Saccharomyces cerevisiae S288C: one gene and its partners. Changing the gene in region 1 together with any one later gene gives a genetic interaction. Each region holds a gene or a part of one and is shown in the gene's direction. Other genes may lie near its edges. The genes, in order: ZNF1, YHL048C-A, PUG1 and RBG2.

Region 1 (8,443 bases):
AGTGGATGGAATCAAATGTACCATTCTGCCAAAGATTGGGAGGTACTTGCCAAAGGGCAGGTTCCCACCGCCCCCTCTTTAAAGACATTGAGGAATGAAAAAGGTTCGGGTGTGAAAGCTGATTATGACACTTTTGCTAAAATTTTGCTTGCTGGGATTGCAAAAATTAACGAGGTTGAACCAAAGGTTACTTGGTACGATACCATTGCAGGAGATGGTGATTGCGGAACTACTCTTGTGTCCGGTGGTGAAGCATTGGAAGAAGCTATTAAAAACCATACGTTGCGCCTCGAGGATGCTGCTCTTGGTATCGAAGATATTGCGTATATGGTTGAGGATTCTATGGGTGGTACGTCCGGTGGTCTGTACTCTATCTATCTTTCTGCTCTCGCACAAGGAGTTAGGGATTCTGGGGACAAGGAACTTACTGCGGAAACTTTCAAAAAGGCATCAAACGTTGCACTAGATGCTTTGTATAAGTATACGAGAGCCCGTCCTGGTTACAGGACTCTGATCGATGCTCTGCAACCTTTTGTCGAAGCGCTGAAAGCCGGGAAGGGTCCCAGAGCCGCCGCCCAAGCTGCTTATGATGGTGCCGAAAAGACAAGGAAGATGGATGCCCTTGTTGGGCGTGCTTCTTACGTGGCTAAGGAGGAGCTGAGAAAACTCGACAGCGAAGGTGGATTACCAGATCCAGGAGCAGTTGGTCTTGCTGCACTACTCGATGGATTTGTTACAGCTGCTGGGTACTAGAATTGCTCGTACACACTAGAAGCCAAACATAACAGCTTTAAAGGCTTTCATTTTTGAACTTTTTAAAAAATTGAATACTCCAACTGAAGGTGAACTAGTTGTGTCTCTGAATATATTTTTATAGATATACGAATTGATGAAGTACCGCAAATTAAGCTAAAAAGTAATGCTTCTTGCAGCTTTTAATTGTTCTTTCTGCAATCTACAATTACTTTTCTTGATTCCTTCTCCGTTCCCCTGTGTTGTCTGGAAGTATAATTTGTCCAGGAAGATTTTTTGAATAGCCATTGTTTTCTTTAAATTAAATCGGAGTGTTTAAATCCATTCCAATCTCTTTTTTCTCGCAAGTCAACAAACAGGTGTTAACTTTCTTTTCCCCGCTGTTTTCTTACCTATGAATAGTCTCAATTCCTTTTTAGAAGATCTGCACATTCTCTGATACTATGAACAAGTTCTAGGATAGCAATCTAAGTTTTATGATTCTCTTATTTCGGATTCGATTTCAATAAAGATCGTAGTATTAGAAGTATAGAATGTATTGTAATTTTTTTTCCTAATCTTATTAATTCATGGAAGGCATTGAACTCAACAGCATATTTTAAATGTTTGTATCTTGTTTTCTCTTTCAAAAAAAAAATGGTGTCATTCATTATTTTATGGTCAACCCTATACATCAATTTTTCTCTGAAAATATTGACAAATAAAGTAGTTGATTCTTGTTCTACCAATTAGTGATATTATGCATGACTGTTAACAACTTTTTGACTAATCTCTGAAATCATATGAAGATCTTGCTGCATTTCATGCATCTAAGAAATCAACCTATATCAACAGATTTCAATAATTACTCTAAACTTATGCTGTAACTTAGAAAGTAACCAGCCTGTGTTGACTGATTGAGTTGCGTATTAACTGCGCCTAGTCATTTCAACACTTATAATTTGCTTCAGCTTAAGTGTGGTTCATCTTTTTTTTTCTGGAAACTTTGCATGCCCTCAAAGCATGAGTAGTTAGTTATCTTTTTGACAATGATCTCTTTTGAAAATATCTACTGTAGATTTGCATGGACGCACGTCGCCCATACGCCAAACTTTGGCAATGATACTCGTTATTCGTAATATCAGTCCGTCAAGGTGCTGTGATTTCTCTATTTTATATTGCCTATTATTTTTTCAAATGATTTGAGCCGTTTTAAATTGAGTATGCAATGAGTCTTTTGAATCAACCGTAAGGCAGTTCCATAACCACTGCCACGAATACGTTTCACTACCTTGAAGAATCTCTAATGTAGGCCGTATTCTTCGCACTTAGTTCTGACGATGTAGACATCTCATTATATAAGAGCATAAGCGCCTGTTTCTAGAATCATTTCTTCGTGACCCAGCTTTTTGAGTTATTTCGCGGTATTTTGAAACATTTCTCGAGCTTGACGTGAACATCCTTATATTTCATGACAAACTCGATCATTGGAACATCCCTGCCTCGATTTTAGAGCTAGTATCAAATTTCAATCTCTTTGTGATGGAGCCCCGCTCCTATTTCAAAAGAGAAGTTTCTTGTATGCATATGTTATTGAAGTCTGATTATAGCAAGTGCAATGTCGTCTCAATTATTTTAACTATTTTTAGCCATACATGTTAGTTATCCTCAAAGAGAGCCTCCAGACTGGGAAGCAGTGTTTGTCATTTCAAATAAGTAGATTTCACAGTTTGTATGATTTTCGAAGCCAGGATTCATTGGGCTTTGAGTAAAGAGAAGCCGCGTATTACGAACAGCTTACGATATTGTAAAATATTCCCTTATTGTGGTGCCCCAATGGATACATGCCAGAGAAATGTCTGTGAAATTGAACAATTACAATGACGAGAGCAAGTAATCCGGCGGCCTTGTCTCTCTTTCACTAGTACCGTCTATATCTCTTGAGCGCCAATATGCGAAAGCTTTCACAAGGTTGATGTTCATGGTATTCGGCGTCGATAGCGAATTGCTTACTAAGAAACATTAGGGTGCAGTACAGCCTTGTTTTTCCAGTTCGACTAACCTTTTTCTTGGCAGTATGGAGACTGACTAGGTCTCCCAAACATTCATTGTAACTGCTGTTTAAAGATTTTGTTCTAACCTAAATTCAAGTGAGAAGCTGAACATGTGTCTCTACTTATGATATCACGACAGCAAATACTAATCTTGCCATAAATAGTCTAGCGTTTTGCAACTTACCTCTAGATATATTTTATTTCTTGAGGAACCGTTTTCGTCGGTAATAACAAAATACTACTGAAACGCCACAGCATTGAGAGAATACGTTATCGATTACGGCTTTCTTCTCGCTCCAGATGTCGCGGGTAAGATATTCACCTCAAACTTTTCTTGTTGAGTGTCGTCACAAATCTAGAACCTACATGCCATCTCAACGATTTTTCTGGAGAAAGGCCTCACTCCGTTCCGTACGTAATGCATAGATAAAGTATCAGGATCTTCACGATGCTCGAGAGTTACTTAGTAGTCTGAGTTTATGCGAAAAAAACTCCGCCGTTGTAATAATCGGGAATACACAGAAGTAGTACTGCACTATCACTGGGATACTCAAAAACCTTCTTTTTAACTTTTCTATCCCACAAATAGAACATAGGAAAGAACATTGACTCCTCCACTTGAAGTTAAATTACAGGAACAAACGCCTAACTATAATTTCGACATTGTTGCATCAACGAATCGACCGAAAGAAAAATCTGGAGTTGCAGTTATCACTTGTATGTGCACTAAGATTTATATTTTTACTCCTGAGATCTGCCAAATCGGTAGCTTATTGAACTGCGTTCCTTTTTCCCCTGAGTTCTCGAGGTACCTGCGGCTTTGTCTGTGCCATCTCCCCCACTTTAAAGTACCCCACGTTACTACCGCGTTTTTCCCCACCCCCGGCTTAATAAATTAGCTATATCTTGTTGACTTAAATACGGAGAAAAGAAGAAAACCTTCAAGAAATGCTTCATTGTCTTGTCAAAAGAGCTAAAGTAAAAGAGCTCTAGTTCGAAGATGGCCCGCAATAGACAAGCGTGCGACTGTTGTTGCATTCGTCGAGTAAAGTGTGATCGTAAAAAACCATGTAAATGTTGTCTTCAACACAATCTGCAATGTACATATCTTCGACCTTTGAAGAAAAGAGGTCCAAAACCCGTCAAGGTGAGAAATTTAAAGAAAGTAGATGATGTACAGGTATTTAGTAAAAGTAGTAGTGGTGGCATAATGAAGGTTCCAAAGGCACTAATTGATCAGTGTCTGCGGCTCTATAATGATAAGTTGTATGTGATCTGGCCTTTGCTGTGTTATGATGATCTTTACGAACTTTTAGAGAAAAGATATGACGAAACCTGTGTGTATTGGTTCCTGGTATCTCTTTCTGCCGCCACGCTTAGCGATTTGCAGACTGAAATTGAGTCGGAAGGAGGGGTTACCTTTACTGGGATACAGTTATCCAGTTTCTGCATGTCATCACGCCAAGAATTTGACGATTTTAACGGTAGTGATATATTCAAGATTATGACGTACTATTGTCTAAACCGCTGCTACGCACAGATGTCCAACTCAAGAACTTCGTATCGGCTTTCTTGTGAAGCCGTGGGGCTCATTAAGTTGGCGGGGTTCCATCGCGAGGAAACTTTGAAACTTCTTCCTTTCGATGAGCAGCAGCTTGGAAGGAAAGTTTATTATTTGCTTCTCTTAACGGAAAGATACTTTTCTGTGTATACGCATTGCGCCACGAGCCTGGATACCACGATTGCTCCACCACAACCGGAGAACGTAACGGACCCCCGACTATCTCTCGACAGCTTCTTGGAGATGATTAGGGTATTTACTGTACCGGGAAAATGCTTCTTTGATGCTCTAGCTACCGACTCTGCTAATGTAACCTGTACTGAAGACTCCCTTAAAAAGATATGGAGGGAACTTCATACGGTGCCACTTGAGATAGAACCATGGTCTTACGGCTATGTAGACATATCTTTTTCACGGCATTGGATTAGAACACTTGCTTGGAAGCTAGTGCTTCAAATAAGCGGTATGCGAATCAGTTTCCTTTCAAATAGCAAGAATACGCATATTCCAGTAGAAATTGCTAGAGACATGTTAGAAGACACATTTTTAATCCCAAAAAATCTTTATGCAGTTCACGGTCCAGGGATATCAGTGAAAGCACTAGAAATAGCCGACGCATTGGTAGATGTTGTGAATCAGTACGATCAAAATGCAGAGTCGGAGGCTTGGAATTTTTTGTTCGATATATCCAAATTTGTCTTCTCTCTTAAGCATTGTGATAGCACATTAGTTGATAAGTTTACGACAAAGTGTCAGTGTGCGCTTATCACGCTTCCTCTTTCTAATCCGCTTGAATCGACAGATGGTTCTAAAGAAGATGTAGATGCGCTTCCTTAAGTAAACACATTGCTACTTGCATTTTACCTTTCAAGATGTAGTGATTACGGACAGTTGAAGAGGCTAATAGCATCTATTTCTTCTTTAGTATATGGTTCCTGCAGGGCAAACAATTATTTCCTTTGCAATTTTGCGGCAGTGGGGAAGAATGATAGCACTAATAGTGAACTTGTGGACAATTATGCTATTATAGCAAGAAAAAAAATTTATTTTTTTTTCAAGGGGGGTGATTGTGATGTGAATTAAATCAAGGATATACGCTTTTATCGTCATGATAGTCGTGCGATTTGTACTTGGTTATAGATGAAATGAGTTAGTTTTTAATAATTGTGATCACAATATAGCTGTACTTATCAGGCCATTAAAGTTTCCTGTAAGGTGCACGAGAAGTCATGGTCATAAAATTATCAGAATCTCCAAGGAGAGGTTCAACGGCGTCGGTTGCCCATACTCCATATTAAGTACCCTGTCATTTCCACAGTTACATTAGTTGGAGTAGTATAGAAACCAAAAAGATCAGAACTCCAATAGGCAGTATTTGGGTCACAGTATTCAGTGTCACGTTTTTTAGTTTCATAAAGAGGTCCGCAAGGATCATATCCATCCTCATCACGCTTCAAAACTGCATAAGTCACACAGGTAGGAGTGCTCTCACAAGGCGGACTATAGTATATGGAGAGATTGGTCTGTCCGCTAACGGAACCTAACTTCTTTGTATTGGAGTATTCATAGCCCATATATTCAGGCTCCAAGTATGTGGTTTGGTCGCCTATTGTGTACTCATAAAAATTAATATTCATACCATCTTCCCTTTTGTTTGTTGGTAAGCAAGCTTCTGTACTGGCTAAGGTTGTAGTAGCTAGCGCCACGAAGACCAAGAGTGCCGAAAATACGGAATGGGGTATAGACATTTGAAGGTGTGGAGGGATGCTGGTATCCTCCAATTGTTACATTAAGATTATCATCTGGCTATCATGAAATGAAGGTTACCTTTATATAAGAAAGACTTTTAAAAAAATGTTTTGTTTTCTGCTTTAGGGAAGTAGATATCGTTCCTGCATTTTGATATCAAAATAATCTCCGGTAGGCATCAATTGCAGTTAAAGCTCTTTCTGGCAAAAACCCCGATACCCATGTAGGTACGCTCTTTTCACCAGGTCTTAATAATTTGATGGGCACCGTTTATCCCAGGCAAGCCAAAAATTAGAAACAAAAAACAACTCACGTACGTTAAAAAACCTGATAGTGCTTCGTACTACATAGAACCCTGCGCTGTTATCTGCTAATCGAGCACTACTAAATTCCCTCCAAAGGAAGTAGAGTATAGATTCTATGCACCGATGTGAAAATAGTAAACCTACGATAACCTTTTTTTTTTTACTAACCGAATTGAGCAGATATTGTTACCTGTTACGGTCATAAAAGTTAAACGATTTTGCTTTATTTCTGTCCCTGGCTGAAAATAGTAAAGAAGAGGGAAGGCAAGTTCAAGGGCAGCTTAATAAGTCATACGAAAACGTTCTCGAACTTTTTTTCTGCAAGCTTTTCAGAACCACGATGGAAAAAAGAAATTTTTACAACACTAATGCCAAGTAAGGTTTTTCGGATTTAGGGTGGCGTCCTGAAAAAAAAAGAAACGTCTCAGAACGTTTCGGAGAAAAAAAAATAAGGTGTCAAATTTCTTAGTGTTTTGACGGGTGATGCCCTTCCAGATAAATCTCGTGGAGATTGGCTAGCGTCAAACGTCACCGATCTCTATTTCTTTTTTAGGTTATTAAATTTCGATTACATCGCGTGTTCTTAGATAAGTTACCAAGGGTGCTCAAAGGAAAATTATATTTCTTTTTTTCTTTTGAGTAATTGCAGGTGAAGAGATACAGAGCAAGGAACGTGATGTAATGCATTTTTTTTTTTGTTCCTTGGAACCACATGATTTACTCAACAAATTAATCTAGTTTGTGCTTCAAGCATGCACCATTGTGAATATTTTTTTAGTTTCAAGGTGACAGGTTATGAAGATATGGTGCAAAAGACAAATGTATGGTGGCAGGCATAGTAAAATGATGGTGTGGAAGACATAGATTGTATTTGTTTTGCATTATCCAAGTGCTCGAGATTGGTTCTAAAAAACAAGAAAATAAAGGGCAAGAAGAAAACCAGTTACTTCTACATTGAGAGGCCAGCCAGGTTGCCGCACACGTGTTGGTGCACGTTAAGTTTTGGGCTCACAGTGGTAAATCATAGAAAAAGCAGTTGCTTAATTTCCCTCTTTTTCATATTCTCTACGCTAGCACTGTAAGGAAAAACGCAGAAAGCAACATACAACGTTTGTTAGGATGTTCGTACTTCACAATAAGCAGACAATAACCATTTCAAGTGTAAAAAAAATTTTTTTTCTGTTAGTTTGATGCAGAAGACTTATACTTTTAACTTTTTTGGTTAACTTACACAAACCAAGCGCACAACGCCTGCGCTTTTTAGTATTAGATGGCATGATTTGAAAAGCATAAAAGTCTGGATATTGGAATTTAGGGAGGCGGCGGGATAGAGCGATAGTTTCTCCCCATATAAAGTCTACAAAATGTGTGGGTTTTTGATATCGATCGAAATTTCACAAGGTGTTCTATAATGACTAACATTTTTGTGAGCAGTTGACTCTCCTTAGTGCACATTGTGGAATATGTATGCCATGTCTCTTAAAGGGGTAAAAAGAGGTATTCTGCATACTACCAGTGGGGTTTATAGCATCGTTTAATCTTGTTATCCTGTTTCGGTTTCGGCAATTTCTTTCAAAATTCTGTTTTCAATGTTATCTGGGAAAGAAATGTTTCGAAAAATAATACGTAAATTGTTCCGACAAAAGAGTTCTTGTCTATGATTATTCAAAATGCTGACTTTTTATTTAGCGCTTATTGGAGTCTTTGCTGTCTGTAGAAATCTGACCAGGCATACAAATTATAGTTATTTACTAACGCAAGAAGTTTATTGTGGTTTTCATGTGTATGTGGCCACGTAGATTTATTTTGTAAATAAGTATCGCGACAGCTTCTATTTTCTTGGTTTAATACGCCTGTACTAATTTCCATTTTTGAGTTTAGGCGGTGCTTTCGTAAAAATGATATGATTATTCCGCTCATAAATGGTAGTCATGGTAAGGAAGATAAAAAAAGCGCAGTTCCACTGTCAGGCTTCGTTTATTTAACAATATAGATACATCATAAAAGTTTTTGGTAATGTTCTCTGGTTTTACTTCGTACTT
Region 2 (7,171 bases), on another chromosome or scaffold:
AAGATAAATTAAAGGGAACAAAATCATTGATTATTCGTAAGTCTGAGCTAATGGCTAAAAAGTATGATACTTGGCAATTAAAAGCTATATTCCTGTTTTCTGCATTCATTTGCACTTTCGCTTATGGATTAGATAGCAGCATAAGGGGTACATATATGACCTACGCAATGAACTCGTACTCCGCACATTCTCTCATTTCTACAGTAAGCGTCATAGTTCTAATGATATCTGCTGTTTCACAGGTGATCTTTGGAGGGTTATCAGATATCTTTGGAAGGCTAACGTTGTTTCTTGTATCCATTGTACTTTACATTGTGGGTACAATAATTCAATCTCAAGCATATGATGTCCAGAGGTATGCTGCTGGAGCTGTCTTTTATTATGTGGGACTTGTCGGTGTTATGCTACAGGTTGTTTTGATGTTGTCTGATAATTCTTCATTAAAATGGAGGCTATTTTACACATTGATACCTTCATGGCCCTCGATTATCACTACGTGGGTCTCAGGTAGTGTAGTGGAGGCAGCAAACCCGTTAGAGAACTGGTCGTGGAATATTGCTATGTGGGCGTTCATTTTCCCTCTATGCTGTATCCCATTGATTTTGTGTATGCTCCATATGAGATGGAAAGTAAGAAATGACGTGGAATGGAAAGAATTACAGGATGAAAAATCGTACTATCAAACGCACGGATTAGTACAAATGCTGGTACAGTTGTTCTGGAAGCTAGATGTTGTCGGTGTGTTGTTGTTTACTGCTGGTGTTGGTTGTATTCTTGTACCACTCACTCTTGCTGGTGGCGTCTCTACAAATTGGAGAAATTCAAAGATTATCGGGCCCTTTGTGCTTGGCTTTGTCCTGGTTCCAGGCTTCATATATTGGGAAAGTCGACTTGCTTTGGTTCCTTTCGCTCCATTCAAGCTGCTAAAAGATCGTGGCGTGTGGGCCCCATTGGGAATTATGTTTTTTATCTGCTTTGTATATCAAATGGCTGCTGGGTATCTCTACACCATTCTAGTAGTTGCGGTAGATGAGAGCGCTTCCTCAGCTACAAGAATAATAAACTTATACTCTTTTGTGACTGCTGTTGTTGCTCCATTTCTGGGGCTCATCGTTACGAGATCATCTAGATTGAAGTCGTATATTATTTTTGGTGGCTCACTTTATTTCATTACTATGGGACTATTTTACCGCTACAGGTCAGGTCAAGACGCCGATGGAGGTATAATTGCTGGTATGGTTATTTGGGGTCTCAGTAGTTGTTTATTCGATTATCCTACAATTGTTTCTATTCAGTCGGTAACATCCCATGAGAATATGGCTACTGTCACAGCATTAAACTATACAGTTTTCAGAATAGGTGGAGCAGTTGCAGCTGCCATTTCCGGTGCCATATGGACGCAGTCATTGTACCCTAAATTATTGCACTACATGGGAGACGCTGACCTGGCTACAGCAGCATATGGCTCACCACTAACTTTTATTCTTTCCAATCCCTGGGGTACTCCAGTTAGGTCTGCGATGGTTGAAGCTTACAGACACGTTCAAAAATACGAAGTTATTGTTGCGCTTGTATTTTCAGCGCCTATGTTCCTTCTAACATTCTGCGTAAGAGATCCTCGGTTGACTGAAGATTTTGCCCAAAAGTTACCTGACAGAGAATATGTCCAAACCAAGGAAGATGATCCTATCAATGACTGGATCGCGAAACGTTTTGCAAAGGCCTTAGGCAGGTCATAAGAAAGATTTACAAAACCCCAACAGGATATGTGTTCGAAAAAATGATCTCTGATATGCGCAGTAATTTTTGTATGGTACATAAGATGAAGCAAGATAAGTGATAGTAATATTTGTTACCATGTATATGTTTAATGTGATAACACAAAAGCGTAATATGAGTAATGTTTCAGTAATGTTTCACACATAGAAAACATATAGTGGAAAACGTATTGTAGCAAACCTCTAATCCGGTAGTACTTGAGAAATTATAGCTTCTGTGTACAAAAACAGTACCTATGTAATTCTTACATTTACATAACATATATAAACTTACTACATTATGACATATAAGCTAAATCGTAATTTACTACGTCAACAATATGTCATAGTGTAGTGATATCATTTGCGATTATATCCTACAAAAAAAAAGCACTTATATGACCAAAAATGTATTATCTGGATTTTAAGTTACCGCTTTAATATATGATGTTCTAATGTGAAGCCTGTGTACATATTGATTAGTATGAAAACATTATTGAACTTTCATGTTAATGACACCATGGCAGTATTCTTACCCCAAGTAAAGTGTTTCAGTCTTATTGCTAAAGGGTAGAATATTTTTATATTTAGGTGATTTTAGTGGTTATTTTTCTATAACAAATATTGAAAATAAGTGTTTTTGAATTTAGTGGTTATTGTATGGTGTAAAGTGATAAAACATATGCGAAAAGGAGTATTAATAATAATAAACAAGTAAAATACGTTTTGACTTACTGATATTCGATCAACTACACATAGTATATTTTGGAAAAGGAACATTTGTTCCTACTTTAGGGGCTTCTCATTGCGGGCCGATTGCGCTTCTTTAATGTATGGCCATAGCTCAACGTTCAACGAAGCAAACCACATAGGTTTTTTTAAAGATAAGAGACGATAGAAAAAGCGCCTAAAAAACCATTCGCAGTCAAGTCCATCGTAGAAAAACTCTTCATTATTCCAGACTTTTTTCTCAAACAAATACCTATTCATTTTCTTTGCAATTTCGTCCCATCCATTCGCACCACTTTCTTGCTCATTTATAATAGTTGACAAGAACTGCATCTTGTGTTCCATTTTCACGGATAAAACAATCATCCTCATATTTTGGAAATCTCTCGTCATGATAAAAAACATTACTACCGGAAACAAGAAACGTGATATAAGGTCAGCATTTCCAGACGTGTAGACAATTAAAAAATAATAAAGGAAGAGTGGTAAACACCGCAGGTTGAAAATCCTTTTAAGAATCCAGGTAAGCTTAAATCGGTAAGCTTCTTTGGGGAGCTGAATGTCTTCCAGGTCGAAAGGACTCTCTTCCTTCTCAGTATTAAACAGCTTCCACTCTTTGTCAAATCCTGCAGCATACACTTGCAAGGCCTCTTCGATATAAGGAACGGAATCCTTAAATGACTTAACCTTTGCAGATTCGTCTTTTTTTAAAGAGAAGGGTTCGAGAAGGGTTGTTTTAAACGCTTTTTGGCAGCTCATGGCATTGAAAAAAAAGTACTTGGTATTCCAAGTCTTATTTTCATAGAAGTACGAATTTAGATTTGCTGCAACGACTTCCCAATCATGAGGATCCGAACTTGGTGTGTCTTCAGTAATCTCTTTGCAAAACTGAATGAGTTGTTTCGATAAGGAACGCTTACGAGAAAGTCCACAAATAACAAGGACAAAAAATGGTCCCAGGAACAGGACAAGAAGTGAAACTATAAGTGGGTGAATCCAATTGCTGGAAAGTTTCCACCAGACGCTAAGTGGTAGCCATAACAGCATCCAGATGCGAAACGCTAAAGACTTGTAAATTTCATAACAAAACCAGGTCAATTCGTTTCGGAAAACATCTTGAGGTAGAACGGTCTTTTGGAATTCGAGCTGTTTGAAGGATAACACATCTACGCTTTTCTCATCTTTGACTTCATTCTCTTTCATTTTCGGTAGTGAGATGGCAGTTCGAGGGGTTTTTTATTCGAAATAGTAACTTCTGACTTTTCGCTTTTATACAGCACAGCAGAAAAAAAAAGCCGCCGAGGCGCGCGCGTTCATGCAATGGCTCAGTAACCTCGTGATAGAAAAAGGGAAACAATATTGGGCTATTTTAGGCAAAGAAACTCAGCTATTCGAAAAGGGCATCCATTTCATTTCCGGTTTTCTATCTAGCCAACTCGATAATCGTAATAACGAATTTACAAAACTTTAATGCGGGTGCATCACGGTGTGCCGTAACTTTGGTTTACATTTAAGGTGCGACCAGCAATGTCACTGCTCGTACAGCGGTTACCGCTTGAATGAAATACATATTTTAAGCGTAGATTTCCTGTGACAAAACTGTGTAAACATCTAGTAGAAAATAGACGTAGCTGTCACAAATATTTACACAGGAAAGAGTCCGTCCTACGTATCTGACATGAAGATTCATAGAACCAAGTTACTTACAAATGTGGACAACCTTTCAATACCATTTTTTATCCTTATGCTTGGTGTCACTGTAAAATTGATCAAGGCAAAACCTAGAGGTACGGTGGTGCTCAGATCATGCATGACATCTGGGTAATCACCACTTCTCCCGCTTGCTTTGAGATTCTGTATAAATATTGCAAACAAAAGGGTAGAGCACGGATGGGAGGCCTTATAGTAAAAATTATTCGTTTTAATCATGCGTCAGTGTGAGATTCTATGACAATAGTATGAGAAGATAGGGTGAAGTAAAAGCGTCTGTATGACTATAGAGTACAGTTATATTACAATATATGGAATAGAGCATAGTGGTATGACGGTATTAAGGAACATTTAAGTTAATGACGTCATGGTGGTATTGATACGCAATTGAGTGTGTTTATGTACTATGGTTGAAGGATAGAATATTTTTATGTTTAGGTGATTTTAGTGGTGATTTTTTTGTAATATTGGCATAAGTGTATATAAATTGAGTGGTTAGTATACGGTGAAAAAGAGGTATAACGTATGTATTAAGAGCAGTTATACAATATTTGGGGCCGCCGAATGAGATATAGATATTAAAATGTGGATAATCGTGGGCGTTATGGGTAAATGGCACAGGGTATAGACCGCTGAGGCAAGTGCCGTGCATAATGATGTGGGTGCATTTAGTACTGATTTAGTGAGAGATGGGTCATGGAGTGGAGTAGAATGTGAAAGTAGGGTAAGTTGAGAGTGGTATATACTGTAGCATCCGTGTGCGTATGCCGTACCAGTATACAAGTGCAAGTGAGTGTGGCATGTGGTGTGTGTGGGTAAGTACGTGTGTATTATTTACGATCATTTGTCAACGTTTCAACATGGTGGGTGGGACATGGAGCATTAGGAAGTGACTTGGTACGCCAAAAAGGGCTCCTCTACCTCAGCGGGGTAATAAAATTTATCCACGAAGCGGCTGAGCAACGAACAGAATCCTGGTTCTCCTCGACTAAGCAGACGGTTAAGATACTGTGCACCATGGAAATTGAAAACGAAAGCACGTACCGACTGCTTTATTTTTGCAGGCCGGAAATCAAGCGATGAATGAGACATCCTTCTGTTTTCTATGTTGGGACAGACAGTCGCTTATCTTAGTGAGATTTCTTATTAACTGAATTTTCTTTGCTGCTGCTGGAGATTTGCACCTGCATAGCGCAGATTCTGCTTCTTCTCAATAGAGTAGCTTAATTATTACATTCTTAGATGATGATAAGACGGAAACTGGACAATCTTTTGTTTATATTGATGGATTTCTTGTCAAAAAGCATAACAATCAACATACTATTGTTAATTTCGAAACTTACAAAAATAAAATGAAAGTTTCCGATAGGCGTAAGTTTGAAAAAGCAAACTTTGACGAGTTTGAGTCGGCTCTAAATAACAAAAACGACTTGGTACATTGTCCCTCAATAACTTTATTTGAATCGATCCCCACGGAAGTGCGGTCATTCTACGAAGACGAAAAGTCTGGCCTAATCAAAGTGGTAAAATTCAGAACTGGTGCAATGGATAGGAAAAGGTCTTTTGAAAAAATTGTCGTTTCCGTCATGGTCGGGAAAAATGTACAAAAGTTCCTGACGTTTGTTGAAGACGAACCAGATTTCCAGGGCGGACCAATCCCTTCAAAGTATCTTATTCCCAAGAAAATCAACTTGATGGTCTACACGTTGTTTCAAGTGCATACTTTGAAATTCAATAGAAAGGATTACGATACCCTTTCTCTTTTTTACCTCAACAGAGGATACTATAATGAGTTGAGTTTCCGTGTCCTGGAACGTTGTCACGAAATAGCGAGTGCCAGGCCGAACGACAGCTCTACGATGCGTACTTTCACTGACTTTGTTTCTGGCGCACCTATTGTAAGGAGTCTTCAGAAAAGCACCATAAGGAAATATGGGTACAATTTGGCACCCCACATGTTTTTGTTACTACACGTAGATGAGCTATCGATTTTTTCTGCATACCAAGCAAGTTTACCTGGCGAAAAGAAAGTCGACACAGAGCGGCTGAAGCGTGATCTATGCCCACGTAAACCCACTGAGATAAAGTACTTTTCACAGATATGTAACGATATGATGAACAAAAAGGACCGATTGGGTGATGTTTTGCATGTGTGCTGCCCAAGTTGAGAAGAGATACTAACAAAATGACCGCGGCTCTCAAAAATAATTGACGAGCTTACGGTGATACGCTTACCGTTATCCAGAGCTACAGCGCAACGTATACGTCGACGATACAACAAGAACGGTTCATCGGAGCCTCGACTAAAGACGCTTGACGGACTCACTTCCGAGCGCTGGATTCAATGGTTAGGCCTTGAAAGCGACTACCATTGTTCATTCTCTAGTACTCGGAATGCGGAAGACGTAGTGGCAGGTGAGGCGGCGAGTTCAGATCATGATCAAAAAATTTCAAGAGTAACGCGAAAAAGGCCCCGAGAGCCCAAGAGTACAAACGATATCCTCGTCGCAGGCCAGAAACTCTTTGGCAGCTCCTTTGAATTCAGGGACTTGCATCAGTTGCGCTTATGTCATGAAATATACATGGCAGACACACCCTCTGTGGCAGTACAGGCCCCACCGGGCTATGGTAAGACGGAGTTATTTCATCTCCCCTTGATAGCACTGGCGTCTAAGGGCGACGTGGAATATGTGTCGTTTCTGTTTGTACCGTACACAGTGTTGCTTGCTAATTGCATGATCAGGTTGGGCCGATGCGGTTGCTTGAATGTGGCCCCTGTAAGAAACTTTATTGAAGAAGGTTGCGATGGCGTTACTGATTTATACGTGGGGATCTACGATGATCTTGCTAGCACTAATTTCACAGACAGGATAGCTGCGTGGGAGAATATTGTTGAGTGCACCTTTAGGACCAACAACGTAAAATTGGGTTACCTCATTGTAGATGAGTTGCACAACTTTGAAACGGAGGTCTAC
Region 3 (7,716 bases), on another chromosome or scaffold:
GAAAGTGGAGTAGGTGTGCTTTTAAGAGAACGGATTTATGACGGAAAACTAGGTTAAATAGACGAAGAAAAGCTGAAGTAATTATCGTTTTGCTGAAACTTTCAGGATAATCCCTATCATAATATATTCCTATCAAGCGATGAGCAACGGAAAGCTGTGAATTGTGAATGTAACAACAAGACTATGTGAAGCAATTTTTAAGAGTTATTTCATTTAGCAATCTTTTGAGACCCGAAATACTCAAAGAACGATAAAATCGTGGGACGAATAATTAGACTAGCAACAATAAAAGGAGTAAATACAACTAGATTTGTGAGTGTGTGTAATTGCGTGTAGCTTGAAAGACTTACCACAGTGGTATCAACACCATACTCGAATCGTTCTAGATCTTGCATAAAAAAAGGACATTTACTTTTACTTACTAGTTATGAGCCACCTTTGATTTCATGGTACAGCCCATAACCTTCCTGAAAGCGGTGCATAACGTAAGGGACTAGATTAGAATCACAAAACCTTTTATTGCATTCTACAGTATTCGTCTAAATCAAGGGATTTTATTTCCTAATTGAAAGTGATCAATTGTTTAGGTGCATACTTGGTTTTTACTCTCCGAGGTTTTCTTTAGTAATACCAAATTCAGTGTCCTCCCAAAATAGATTGAGAAGGTCTGGTAGAGATTCTGCAGTCACAAAATTTTCGAGGCTACAAAAGTCCATGCCAACTGAAACACTGGTGCTGCTGGGTGACAACTTCTCATAACAAGCACCTTCTTGATTTTTTCCCTGTACGCCAATAACTCTATTATTCACCAAATCACCCATTTCCCTATCAAGAATGCTGAGAATTTCTTTACGGAAGCTTGATTCTTTGTGTTCGCCTATAATATTCCTGTACCAGATACATTCAATGTCCAACGCAGCTTGACCAGCATCTGAGCAAGCCTGGCCATATTTTTTCAATTCACAAAACAGCGATTCCTTAGCCATTTTCTGTGAACGTGTGTACATCTGACAGCAGATGCGTGTTAGGATGAAAGAAACCGCTGTTCCATTTTCCAACTTTTTAGAGAAGGCGTTGTTGCCCTTGAAATTAACATTGCCAGAGCTCACAAATAAGTCATTATATGAGGCTATCATGCGGCACATCAAGGATAAATAACATATCGAGTTCCTTCTAGGGGTCTCGATAAAATTCAAGGTAATATTCATCAAGATGGCATATATGAACCACGAACAACGGAAAATATAGAACGTATCTTCGTGCTTGAGAACATCCGTCAAAATATCTACAGATGCTTCAAAGGTTTGAAGCCTGATGTCCTTTACGCAGGAATCAAGTTCAATTCTCTCTCTTTCTTGTAGAAGATTTTGTATCCTTAAAATTAAACTCTCCATTCCCTGAAAACAACAAACCTTTGCAAATCCGAAATGGGTGTATAGTTCAAATACATTACTATTTTCAGAATATTGTTTGAGGAAAGGGATTAGTTTGTCTTGTATGCACTGAAAAATTTTACATATTTTTGAAAACTCTACCATAAGCTGTCGTGCGGTTCCATTTAGGTCTTTAGCGTTAGGAGTTGCAAATAATCTGTAGTCTGTAAAGTGTCGATTATAAAGCAAACCAGAGAATACCGCTGTAATAATTTTCGTTAATAGAATATAGCCGAAAGAGATACAAATATCAAACTTACTTGGGTCGAGCTCCACCAAGTTTATTAAAGTAAAACAGTCCATCGAATCATCTACCCCTAATCCAACCACATCCTTGGGAAAGAGACACGAAGTCATTTCATGTGGTATCAATGGCTGCTTACCGGTGACCAATGAATACCATCTATCCCACCAGTAGCAGTCCCACCATAACTTACGATATTCTTCGGCAGTGTCCTCATCCTGACCAATATAATATTCCCAACGATTCAAACCAGCATCCAAACTTCGCCTGGACATCGTGGAAATAATTCTTCCCAGCACAAAAGGATCGTCTATCCAATATCTGTGTTTCATCAACGAGACTAAGCCCTTTAAAATAGTCAAGTCGTACATTGTCGAAAATAGGGATCTTTCAAAATATTCAAGACAGAGACAAAAAATCAACTCATCTTGCTCAAGAAAATATTTCAAAGGAAGTAATTTTTTGGAACTTTTACGATCCAACGCCTTGTGGTGCTGTTCCATCAATTGTACTCCGTACATAAACCAGTCTGTTGGTTTATTGAATTTGATTGTTTGGTTAATGTTTGTATTTCCTTTGATTTCATTCGATATATTTGACATAATGTGTTGAATAAGTACGTCGTTCCCACATGAAAGTCCGTTTAGCTTTGAATAATACTCTAAAGGAGATATCGAAGTTACTTTAGGACCAGCATGGCTAGCAGAGCTAGCGTCAAGAAACTTCAAAAATAAATAGATAGTTTCTCTCGTCTCCCTATCATTCGAACATGAAATCAATTTTTTAGTTATCCAGCTAATACCCGTAGAGGCAAAATATAGCAACGGTGAATAGACCCCAAAGTACATACTGACATTTTGTGCAGTATTGCTTTCAAAAGCGTTGGAGAACCTATTCAAAGATTTTGACTGTTTCCCGATAATTTCTGTTTCTATCGATTTCAGGCCACCATACGAGCTAATTTCCTTACTGTCCAGATTGAGGTAAAGCTGAGGTTGTATTTTTTCAAGCTCAGTGCAAATGTTTGCTAGGCCTTTCTGTAAAGAGGCCGGTGCGCTTGGAGGTAACTGTGCCTTCAATTTTGCTATGCTGCACTTAGCATTATCCAAATCATTACTGAGACTACCAGTATAATTGAAAAAAGCCTCAATCGGTTCACGAAATTGATTTCTATACGTACATTTTGATTGAGACCCAATACACCCAAAACATGGCTTCTTACTGTTGCACTTAATCTTTTTCCTATGGCATCTATCACAGGCCTTGGTTACCCTAGATTTTTGTTTGGCTAATCCTCTTTTTGCTGCCATCTCAATAAAATATAAAAAGCTAAAAAGCTTAAAATTTAAACAACAATAATGTCGTTAACCTAATGCGCTTATTCGATGAGATTTGGATTTGCTTCTAGCTTATAGAAAGGAAGAAAGTTTTTACTGTTCAAAGCACACATCAAAAAAATTATTACCCAGCCTTTCAAACAAACAAAGTACTCCAAAATAGTTATTTTTGAATACTAGCAAACCAACCAATCACTTTTTTTGTTGGATTATCAAATAAGCCTAATCAGGTCTTTCATGCAGCGTTGAATCCAGGTTACTTCACCGCACCTTAAGTTAAGATCAGGACAGTATCGGCTGTTCCTGAGAAACCAGCCATATTCAAGTTTCGGTATCCTAACCGTTGATATTGTCCTTATTTGTCGACCTTCAAATATTGTGGCTGCCATGTATATGAGCGCCTCGATCTATTATGACTAAGCCATGCGATTGTCGTGTAATGGTATCGCGCATACTGAAGGTTTCAGCCCTGTTTTGATGTGCCGCGGCAAAGTGGTTTTTCTCCATACAGGATGAAGTGTTTCTTTCCCCATGCCGCGGCAAGCTCATCCTAAATAAATCTCAACTTTTCAACTAAATGTACTTCAATTGAACAAATGCCAAGACCTCAAATGAATCAGTATAAAAGCACCTACCGAATCAATTGTGGGATGTATAGTCTCTTGCCTCAAAATGTCCAGGATAGTAGGTTAATAGTGTCCAATTACATAGCTACTTAATCTTTTATTGTCCATCAACGTTCCAAAATGTCCACAACTGATTCGGGGTTCGTACTTTACCACTATACGCCAAGTAAAGCGGCTGCAATCGTATTTGTCGTACTCTTCATTATAATGACAGTCATTTTTGCCGTTCAAACTTTATATGCTGCGAGAAAATCTTCTAAGGCATTGAAAAATAATCCATTTGAGTCATCTGATGATAAGGTCGATAGTCTTGAGGATGCTGAATACAAGCAACTAAAAATCACACCCACAGTTTTTGCGTTTATACCTTTCTTCACTGGCTGCATCATGGAAGCTGTCGGGTATATCGGGAGGGCTCTATCCAGTTCCAATCCTGAAAGAACGACCCCATATATTATCCAATCTGTTCTTTTATTAGTCGCTCCAGCACTAATAGCTGCGACGATTTATATGATTTTTGGAAGGTTATTACATGTTATGAGGTGCCAATCTTTAATTTTGATTTCTGCACGCTTTGGTACGACTTTCTTTGTTGTGGGAGATGTGTTTAGTTTCTTTTTACAAGCTGCAGGTGGCGGACTAATGTCTAAGGCAGGATCAACGAAGACTGGTTCAGGACTCATAACTGCGGGTCTTTTTGTACAGGTAATTTTTTTTGGATTTTTCATTATCAATGAGATAAGATTCACAGTAAATGTTAAAAGGAGATGCTTATTTTACGAAGATATTTCCAGAAAGTGGATCTTTGTGAATGCTACCCTATTATTAAGCAGTATGTTGATCCTACTACGTTCAATTGTCCGAATAGTTGAATTTATTCAGGGATTCAATGGCTATATAATCTCTCATGAGTATTTCATATATGTCTTCGATGCTGTACCTATGTTATTGGTAATAATAGCATTTAGTGTGGGATCCTTTTTCGGCAACGTATTCGATGTTATAAAGGAGTGTCAAACGTTAAGTAATTAGATAATATATATCAAATTTTGATTTCTATGTAGTGCAGCCAATCAATTTTAACTTCATTTAGAATAAAAATCTTTCCTCTTCTGCTTTGAAGCCATTAAAACGAAAGATCTAGGCGGTACTATTTCTCCATTCTCAGCCGTACAATCATGCACCGAAAAGGAAGGCAATGTATTGAATTTTTCGCCGAGAACAAAATATTTGTAAACACTCGTTAGATTCCGCATTGTTAAGTGGCATCACAAACACAATCAAGATTAAGAGAAAAGTAGCTCGTTGAGAAAGATTCTTGTACATATCGGGATACTTCTGAAGTCTAATAAAACATTCAAATAAAGACAGACTGGATAAAAGATTCCTGAACGTCAAAACTTATATCTTCTTGTCCCTTGGAATGTCTCTCTGCTCTTATATTGTTGCTGTTGAGTGGTCTCATGACAATAAAGTATGTCACTGAATTGAAGACTACTGAACCATGGCAGCTAATACAATCACGCCCATCCAGAAAAGTGTCGTGTGGCGAAAATTTTTGTTCACGTTGAACAGAGGGTACTGATTTCAAAGTGCTCTTAAGTCGTAATGACGGCCCTAATAATGATTTCCAGACCCTTTGGAAGGAGTTTCTTCTTTAAGTACTGCCCTCCCTGATCTATATTTGTAGGAAATTTTTAAAGTACCTAGCCTTTTTCTCAGTCACGGCTGTAGAGTGTACACAGAGCCTTTGAAGTTTGGTGCTTTACGAAATTAAAGCAGTCACCTATGTCATTTAGCTACAAAAAACTCGTCTAGAAGAACAGCACATCGGCCTCCTATATCGGTACTCATCACAGAATCAATGTATAGTATGTGTCAAGGAGAATGTATTAACGCCAAATTAAAGGCACACTAACATGTAATGAAGCTGGTGTTATATATTTTTTTTCAATTGACGTGAAACTCAGTGTCTTAGAATTATTTTTTAGTTCAAAGAGTACGGCTATTGAAGTGAGCCACAATGTCATTTAGCTTTATAAACACAAGAGTAAAAGTGCGCTTGTCTTCGCCTCAATGAATTAATGGAGCAGAAAATTTCTTAACGGTCAGCAATACTTGAAAATAATTTTAGCAGTTCAAACTTTCGTTGTTATCTTGATACTGAACTCTCCTTAGTATTCATATAAATGATTCTATTTAATAGTCCCCTCCGCAGGGTAATTTTAAGGCCTTCTTTTATTTCCAAAGGAATTAGTATATAGCATATAATATAATTTATCACCAAATCAACAGAAAATATCATAATAGCATTAACCCGCAAGAATTTCTTTAAATGAACACAGTTTTCTGCAGTGTTAAATAGAAATTTCTAATTATCCTGCATCCAAGACATGAAATCGGTATATTCAAGGAAATTTATTAGCACTGAAATGCATATATTCATTTTTGTTAGCCACGGAACTGAACTCTCATTATAATGTGGCGGTCCGGTTTCCCCTAAAAATAATTGAGGGCATATATGCATATCTTTTCGAGACTCAGGTTGAAAAAGAGCCTCCTTAGTTCTGCACATACATCCAATAGTAGGGCAGGAGTCCCAATCAAATTTAGGTATGTCCTCTATGCTATCACCCACCTCTGGTAAACAGCCAATTGCGGCCTTTATGATGAACAGTGAGGAATTCAAATTAAATTTACTCTCTGAGGTGAAAACCCATTTCATAATAACCTTTTTATCCTCTACAACATATACTGATCTAATTTCAGAGCATCTAACCAGTGTCAATATCCTAAAATCTTCCTTTTTTCCGAAGTTGAGCTCTAGTATGTGGGATATTCTCTCCTTATTGCGATAATAGCTTGTTTTCTTCACCTTAACAGTGCAAAAAAGAACTTTAAACAGAGTGAAACCGTCGCACTCTCCTTTTACCTCATAATCCGACTCTTCAGGGAAGTCCCCATTTTTCAATATCTCGTATTGATAAAAAAGAAAACCCACATAATCTCGCCTAACAAAAAAAGGCTTCTTAGTGCGGAAGGCAAATAACGGCAAGCCCTCTCCATCCGCCGTAAATGACTTGAAGGGATGCTTCCTACTTGCAAACAGATTTATAGATCGTTGTGATTTGAATATTAGATCGTCTTTGAAAACACGAAGCTTGACCATTCCAGTTTTCGTTACAGTATCAAATTTAAACTTATCCGGAACATCCTTCCTGTCTTCGTTAGCGTAGATTTCTTCTTCTATAGCCTTTACTCGAGGCTCGTAACCATCAGGATGCCACAGCATGATACTGTTTACAGAACTCGATCATATACTAGAACCTTTGACTTCGGTAATCAGCCCGCATCCTATGCTTTCATTTCCTTGGCGTATGTTACTGACTAGTTTCCTGGCTTAAAATAGGAGAATTCATCCTCTTAGTTATTTTCTTGGTGGACCACGTGCCTTGCTTAAAGCAGGGCGCTGCCGTTGTTGCAACAGCATTTTCAGACTTTCCTTTAGGTAAAAAAGGTCAACCAATAATTTTATTTTATTTCTGATGATGGTTGCGCGTTCCAAGAAAATCAAAACCTTGGGCCTCATCCTCTTCTAAGACGTATAATGCAATCAAGAAACCCTTCCCAAAACCTAATAAAGGCTTGTTATTAGTTTCAAATTCAGGCAGAACTCGACTTGGATCTTTTAAACTTTTAAAGTCGTAGAAAATAGGTGCATAATTAGCTAAAACAGAAGAGACTCACCATTTGAATTATATAACTTTATTAATTCGAGTAAAACATCCATCAGGTATAGCGTGTTGCGGAAAGACTTTTTTTACTCTTATTGTAACAAATATGTGTTACAATTTACCTGTAACCTTGTTCTGTATAAAATTTTCTCTCGTTGTCATATGCCAATCTTTATATAATTAATAGAAATTTAGGAGGAACACAAGAAGAGGGGTAGATCCCGACAAGCCTTAACATACAGACGTAAAATTACTCGCAAATTTGCGAACCACTTGGTCAGGTGCGGTACGTAAAACGAAGATTTGTACAATAAAAATATTGTTGGTTTAGCTAGATTATAT
Region 4 (7,396 bases), on another chromosome or scaffold:
GAAATGGAATACCAACCCTTATGTTCGCCCATGTAAATATAGCCATTTTTCAAACAAAGTTCCCATAATTTCATCACGTTTTCAATGTGGTCAGGATCCGTAGTCCTTATAAATCTTGTATAATTAATGCCATATATTTTGTCTAATTGAACAAACTCTGGGTATAGCTTATCGACGAACTTTTTTGGCTGATCGAAGCCATTGCTTTCACTAGCACACTGGATTTTCAATCCATGTTCATCAGTACCTGTGGTAAAGAAGGATAGATTACCTTTAAATAATTGCCATCGATGGTAAACGTCACTTAATAAGCTGGAGTAAAGATGGCCGAGGTGCGGTTTGGCATTGGGATAGAAAATTGGCGTCGTTACGTGGGAGACCTTAGAGTACAGACGATGCACAATTGATCGACATTGCATGTTTTCTTTCGATCAAAACCTATGCTTTCCTTATTTACCTCTGGAGAATAGTAACATTAAAATTTACATTCTTTTTTCACAGTTGTGCGGATTTATTTGTTTGAAACCACCATTGGACTACGTTTTAGTTTTTAAAGAAAGAGAAGGCACTTCGTAATCCAATGTTGCCTAGTACTGGTATTGCTTGCACTATACAAGGAAGTAAGTGTGATTATGTAATGCTGTATACACTCTTTATTCAAACATAGTTCAGAAAAACATATATACAAATATCGCCCCTAAGCCAATTCCCTTCAGACAAAAATTACCATGAGGGCAAAAACACTGTAGAAAATCAACAGTGGGTAGGCAATTAGCAATCTTGCATTTTGCAATTGGAGCAAAGAATTTAAAAATCCAGACGAGGTCCAAGTACTCCAAATTACAAATAGTACTGATACAACATAACCTGTAGTGTTGTTCAAACCATGGAAAATGCCCAGTAAAGAAAGGAAACACAGAGGCAAAAAGCAGTATCCTAAGATGGACGCTGTATTGAAAAATTGTAGGTTCGTTTGAGTGGAAGTATCGTTATTGCTCATTAATTTCGATAGATTGTGCAAAGAAATGGTACCAAACAAAGCGACACCATAGATATATCCAAAATGAACCTTTCCAGCCATCAATAGAAAAAGTCCGAATAACAAAAAGAATATCAAAGGCCCAGCCAAATCTGAATCGTTTAGAATTTCTTGTGGCACACCACTACCAAAACGTATTGGTATAAGAACCATTTTAGTTTTCGTTATGATATGATCGAAATTTATTCCAATTTCCTCCAGTAATGGAGGTTCATGTGGATATCCCTTAGTTGAAAGAGCATGTAAAATACCTACAGGCAAAGGGTCGGGGGCAACACCCAAATTGTTATCGTTGCCAGTATTAGAAGAACCGACGGTATTTTGAAAACTCATTGACCCTTGGGGAACGGCAAATTGTGCAGAAGGCTGATAAAAGCCACCGCCATTATTAGCATTGTTACTAGTATTGTAGAAAGACATCTCGAGAGGGACTAATAGTTGTCTTGCAGTACTTCCCGTCCAATTTGTAGCTGTTATAAGATGACTTGGTTCGTGTCACGTAGTTACCTCACTCAAATAGCAAAATAATCAATGGTTACCCGAAGTGAAAATTTTCGTGATAATAGCGATGAGATTTAAACCCAGTTATAAAAGTCGTACAATATTGAAGCTGTTGATATTGGAATTGAACAAGTACTAACGAGATACGCATTATCAAAACTAACGTAACAAGCACTACAAAATGGGTATTATCGACAAAATCAAAGCCATCGAAGAAGAAATGGCCAGAACCCAAAAAAATAAGGCCACAGAACATCATCTGGGTCTTTTGAAGGGGAAATTGGCTAGATACAGACAACAACTGCTAGCTGATGAAGCTGGTAGTGGTGGTGGAGGAGGGTCTGGTTTTGAAGTGGCAAAATCAGGTGACGCTAGAGTAGTTTTAATAGGTTACCCCTCCGTCGGTAAGTCCTCCTTATTGGGTAAAATTACCACCACCAAGTCTGAGATCGCTCATTATGCTTTCACGACATTGACATCCGTTCCTGGTGTATTGAAGTACCAAGGTGCAGAAATCCAAATTGTGGATCTTCCAGGTATTATTTATGGTGCTTCGCAGGGTAAAGGTCGTGGTAGGCAAGTTGTTGCAACAGCAAGGACCGCAGATCTAGTATTAATGGTTTTAGATGCCACAAAGAGTGAACATCAAAGAGCATCTTTGGAGAAGGAGCTGGAAAATGTAGGCATCAGGCTTAATAAAGAGAAACCAAATATTTACTATAAGAAAAAAGAAACTGGTGGCGTGAAAGTTACGTTTACCTCCCCTCCAAAGACCAATTTAACCGAACAGGCAATCAAAATGATCTTGAGAGATTATCGTATCCATAATGCAGAAGTTCTGGTAAGAGATGACCAATGTACGATTGATGATTTTATCGATGTTATTAACGAACAACATAGAAATTATGTCAAATGTCTTTATGTGTATAATAAGATAGATGCAGTATCATTAGAAGAGGTGGATAAACTTGCCAGAGAGCCAAACACCGTTGTTATGTCCTGTGAAATGGATTTGGGATTACAAGACGTCGTTGAAGAAATTTGGTACCAGCTGAACTTGAGTCGTGTGTATACAAAGAAGAGAGGTGTTAGACCAGTATTTGATGATCCTCTAGTGGTAAGAAATAATTCCACTATTGGTGACTTATGTCATGGTATCCACAGGGATTTCAAAGATAAGTTCAAATACGCATTGGTTTGGGGTTCTTCTGCCAAACATTCTCCTCAGAAGTGCGGCTTAAACCACAGGATTGATGATGAAGATGTAGTTTCTTTATTCGCGAAATAGTATAAATGAATAGATTTTAAAGAAACATGAAAAAACAAGATCAGCATCGAGAACTGTAGTACGGAGCAGAGATTTTGCATGACTAAACGGACTCATTTTCCTTGTAGTAGAAATAAATGCTGAAAATAGGTTTTTTAGTGAGAACCGGAAGGTGTTACTTTCATGGTATATTCGTATATACTTTTATAATGTAATTTGAAGAGCTCCGTTCATAAAAATTGTCATTCTGGGCTTCAAATGAATAAATAAACCCGAATGACAATGAAATCTCGAAATTATAATAGTGGTACCTAGTGTAGTAAGTATAAAGGAACCTTCTCTGTTGTATCTCAGAATGGGATACCTCAGTATGACAATACATCATCCTAAACGTTCATAAAACACATATGAAACAACCTTACAGCAAAACGAACAGAATGAGCAACATGAAAATAAAACTCTGCCTTCCTTAGCTAACCTACTCTAACGTATAAGTATCTGAACAATTGGTTTAGATCCAAGATTCCGCGCTTCCACCATTTAGTATGATCCATATTTTATATAATATATAGGATAAGTAAGATCCCGTGAATCAAGCTGATAAACCGTTTTGACAACTGGTTACTTCCCTAAGACTGTTTATATTAGGATTGTCAAGAACCTTGACATTACCCCATTGCATGATGCAATAATCTCATATAAATAACAAGCGCAAGTGGTTTAGTGGTAAAATCCAACGTTGCCATCGTTGGGCCCCCGGTTCGATTCCGGGCTTGCGCAATGTTTTTTCCATCCCCAAGTATGGGAACTAAAATAGCTAAAAATAAGTATGAAGTTATATTTTTAAACCTATTTACAGTGTACAAATAAATAATATATCATAAATGACACAGACGTATGTTTTAGGATGCAAAAGTTCAAGCTGCCCTTCCTAATTGAGTGACCCGACCCATCTACCAGAAGCGCCACCAGCTTTTAACCTGCTTATCCTGGACTATTTCCTTTGTTTTCTCCTCCGTTTCAGATCTTAGCTGAGACAGTTCATTTCTGATCCTAGCCAACTCTTCTTTTTGCACCTCCTCCGCCCTCACCTTAGCAAAGTGATCTCTGCTTTGAACGTTATCACCGTTCCTTTCCCAAGGTGATTGAAGGGGGCCCGTCTTCCAAATTGGATCGTCACTTTGAGAAGTTTCCTTAACAATTTTCATCAAAGCCTGCTGCTCCGACTGACGTAGTTTTTTCTCCCTCTCATATTGTAAACGTAATTCTGGGGAAAGCTGGCTGATTAACTGTTGATCTGTTGGCGTTGTGTACTTGAAAAGCAGAAACCCGCTTCCAATAATAGCGCCACCAATTGCATAGACTTTCAACCAACGTACCCACAATGGTCTTTCCATACCCAAATAATGCTTATACTGTCTTTGTTTTGCTATTACTGCCTCTCTAGGAGTTATCGCGCACTGCATGTATATAAAATTTTATCTTGATAAAATACCCCGGGGGATGAGCAAAAAAAGGGATATGGGGAATGAAAAGTGAGATAAACTAGCAATAATCTATTCTAATAAGTAGAACATTCACAAAGACTACTATGGTGTAATTCTGAAAGGATTTACGAGAGCACAAATACTATTATGTATAATTCTGACTGCAGAATCCGGCAAGCTTGATTTAATATCACTTAAGGAAGTAATATCGTTAATTGATAACCGAATATGAATCTCAATGCATATTTTGAAGCATATCAAGCCATTTTTCCTTTTCTGTTGGAGGCATTTTTAAGGAAAGAACAAAAAGTATAAAACACTTCGGTTAATAATAAATGATATGTGAATTTTTTTGAAAATATGTAAAATAAATAAGTAATAAATAAAAATAAGATGTGTTTATCGTAATGTACTATACAAGCCTTCCAAGCCGACTTCTGTAATAAAAAAAAAAGGTGCAGCTTAATGTTTGACGGTTCCTATCCTCTCTCCCTTATAAGCTGTAGTTAACCAATCAACTCACCAAACAAAAATGGGGTGAATACTCTAATAGCTGTGATCAAAATCATAATACCTTCCAATAAAGCCATTGGTAATCCCAAGAAACCACGTTCTTCCATGTTCAAGTAAATGGTGTAAAAAGCGACAGCGAAGAAAACCCTGGTCAATTGCAAAGGCTTTGGCAAGACACCAGACAGAAATTCAACGGGTTTGTTGACACAATCGCCACCTCTTTGGAAATATTTGAAACAACCTTTTTGTAATGCCTTCAAGTTATCGCTGTCAGCAGCGAACAAAGAATACAAAGCCACTGACAAAACGTTAATAACGGAATCGTAACTCTTTCTTTCGAAATGGTAGTCTAGTAATTCATCCAAAACCTTTTCACGGTCGCTGAAGTCTAGGTCACCTATTTTCTTAATCAACAAGACAACATCATGCAAACCGACAGTCATACCACCACCAGTCAATGGATGTCTCATATTTAGAGCGTCACCGATAACACACATACCAGTGACGTCGTTTTGTCTAGCTGGCAAGTAGGAGTTTGGCATAGCTCTAAATTTACCTTGGCTGACGGCTTCATCAAATGAAGGACGTAGACTCTTTGGAATGAAAGGTTGGACATCCTTAATCATCCAACTCTTGATATCAGCTGGGACCTTTGGAGAGTTGTAAGCACAAAGGATTCTTGTTTCTTCTGGACTGATTTGGTAAACCAAGATTGGCATATGATCACTACCAAGAATAACGTGACCGTGCATAGGAGCAGGATTCTTAGCATTGAACAAAGACATACCGACAAACGAAGAACCGACAGTTGGAACATGGTCTGGGTGCAATTCCTTTCTGAAACGTGAAAAGATACCGTCACAGATAAATGTCAAGTGGGCTTTGAATTCCACCTTGCCACGGCCATCAATGTCAACCTTGGCACCAACAACCTCATTCTTTTCATCCTTCAATATCTCAATACAGTTACCTTGCACTCTAGTAACATTTGGCTCTTGAGCAGTAATGTTTCTCAAGTTGTTCAAGAATCTACCATGAACAAAAGCAACACCCCTTTCTCTTTCATCATCTTCGTAATCCTTGATGTGAATAGTGCTGTCTTCCAAGACCTTGTCATTACCATCTTTGACCAAGTCCTTCAATTTTTCAACTTTAGGGATATCGGCCTTGTAAGGGTATGGAATATCAACTTGTTCGCCGTTGAAAAAGACGGTATAACCGGTAACAGGATATGCTTCGATGTTGTTGATAGATTGAATCATACCCAGACTTCTCAATGCTCTAACACCACCTGGTTGCATCAATTCACCAACAATTCTATCAGGCATAGCCCAGTCACGTTCTACGATAAGAACTTTCTTACCCTTTCTTGCTAGACCAGTAGCAACACATGGACCGATAACACCAGCACCGATGACAATCGCATCGTAGGTAATTGTGTTGTCGGCATTAATCAATTCAGGTGCAACGTTAACAGCAGACATGACCCTTTTCTCGATATGTTTTTCTGTGATTTTTTTTTTTCAATTGTTCGAAATAACCTGTATTGTTCAATACTGGACAATTGTTCTGATATATATATATATATATAATTTTCAATGAAAAAAAAAAAAAAAAGAAAGAAAATTAGAAGCTAGAAAGAAATAAGGAAAAGGAAAAGCAAACAACAATAGGAAAAAAAAGCATAGAAACATATAATAGATTAAATACAAAAGATTTATTATACATGCGAGGTAAGACTATTGTCTAAGACTTATACCCGACCGAGAGCAGCCACGGCATGCATCGACTACGAGCGTATTGTGTTATATCAGCTCTGTCCGATACACTGCTTGCCTTTTGTACGAGCTCGGCCGAGCTATACGAAGGCCCGCTACGGCAGTATCGCATTAAAGCGACGCAAATTCGCCGATGGTTTGGTAGAAGAGCTTGCAGAACGATTCCCATTCGCCACGATCCCGTAGAGTGCCCTGAACCACGCTCATGTCCATGTTCATACCATTCACGTTTGTGGAGCAAACGTTTAGGCCGAACGCAAATCTCAAGGCGCCTGCAGACTGCGAGAAGATTAAATCCCGAACGTAGTACGGCTTGGTCGTATCTTGCGAGACAAGTCCTGTATTACTGATGATTGCACCGCCTCTTTGCTGGTGCAAATAAGAGTTGGCAAGAAGGCTGTCTATATTCTTGTTTTCAACGATAAAATCAAGTTGTAGGACCCCCAGACCAATCAAGTGGTCACCGTTGTCGTACGATTCTAAAAAGCGGTCATAGTAGTATTCGACAAGACTCCAAAACTTGTCATTGTCACCTTCGGGAATGTCGAATGAGGAGATTAGATAGGCGTAATGCGAACCTCCAACGTTGGAGCCGTATTTATAAGAATCTCTTAACTCTTCATCGTTTGGTAAAAACCTTCTTGCGTTGCTTGGAATAGCCACATCGAACCCATACTCGAGAAGAGATTTTGTGAACAGCTTATCCAGTCTATACAGGGCTACAAGAAAGCACGCTTGAATGAAGGGTGTTAGGGTGCACCCATCGTGAACATTTTTCTTGATCTGAGCTCTGATTTGTTCTACTTGCTTA

What was found.
Region 2: mutations in ZNF1 (region 1) and YHL048C-A together harm fitness more than expected from each alone (negative genetic interaction), as found in Saccharomyces cerevisiae (one large-scale study listed by BioGRID).
Region 3: mutations in ZNF1 (region 1) and PUG1 together harm fitness more than expected from each alone (negative genetic interaction), as found in Saccharomyces cerevisiae (one large-scale study listed by BioGRID).
Region 4: mutations in ZNF1 (region 1) and RBG2 together harm fitness more than expected from each alone (negative genetic interaction), as found in Saccharomyces cerevisiae (one large-scale study listed by BioGRID).

Annotation. Positions count from the first base shown.
Region 1 is NC_001138.5:24,446-32,888, forward strand, and holds ZNF1 (DNA-binding domain containing protein), read left to right. Parts: upstream 1-3,786; coding exon 3,787-5,184; downstream 5,185-8,443. Other genes in the region: DAK2 (dihydroxyacetone kinase), read left to right, coding at 1-753; YFL051C (uncharacterized protein), read right to left, coding at 5,613-6,095. UniProt on the Saccharomyces cerevisiae protein: Transcription factor that regulates respiratory growth and plays a critical role in stress adaptation during non-fermentative growth.
Region 2 is NC_001140.6:2,919-10,089, reverse strand, and holds YHL048C-A (uncharacterized protein), read left to right. Parts: upstream 1-4,292; coding exon 4,293-4,427; downstream 4,428-7,171. Other genes in the region: ARN2 (siderophore transporter), read left to right, coding at 1-1,739; COS8 (Cos8p), read right to left, coding at 2,544-3,689; YHL049C (uncharacterized protein), read left to right, coding at 5,549-6,364; YHL050C (uncharacterized protein), read left to right, coding at 6,779-7,171.
Region 3 is NC_001137.3:555,694-563,409, forward strand, and holds PUG1 (Pug1p), read left to right. Parts: upstream 1-3,760; coding exon 3,761-4,672; downstream 4,673-7,716. Other genes in the region: TOG1 (Tog1p), read right to left, coding at 603-2,987; YER186C (uncharacterized protein), read right to left, coding at 6,012-6,932. UniProt on the Saccharomyces cerevisiae protein: Involved in inducible protoporphyrin IX influx and heme efflux.
Region 4 is NC_001139.9:842,133-849,528, forward strand, and holds RBG2 (Rbg2p), read left to right. Parts: upstream 1-1,721; coding exon 1,722-2,828; downstream 2,829-7,396. Other genes in the region: methionine--tRNA ligase MSM1, read right to left, coding at 1-419; transporter YIP1, read right to left, coding at 713-1,459; CBP4 (Cbp4p), read right to left, coding at 3,761-4,273; YGR174W-A (uncharacterized protein), read left to right, coding at 4,523-4,609; ERG1 (squalene monooxygenase), read right to left, coding at 4,801-6,291; ATF2 (alcohol O-acetyltransferase), read right to left, coding at 6,697-7,396.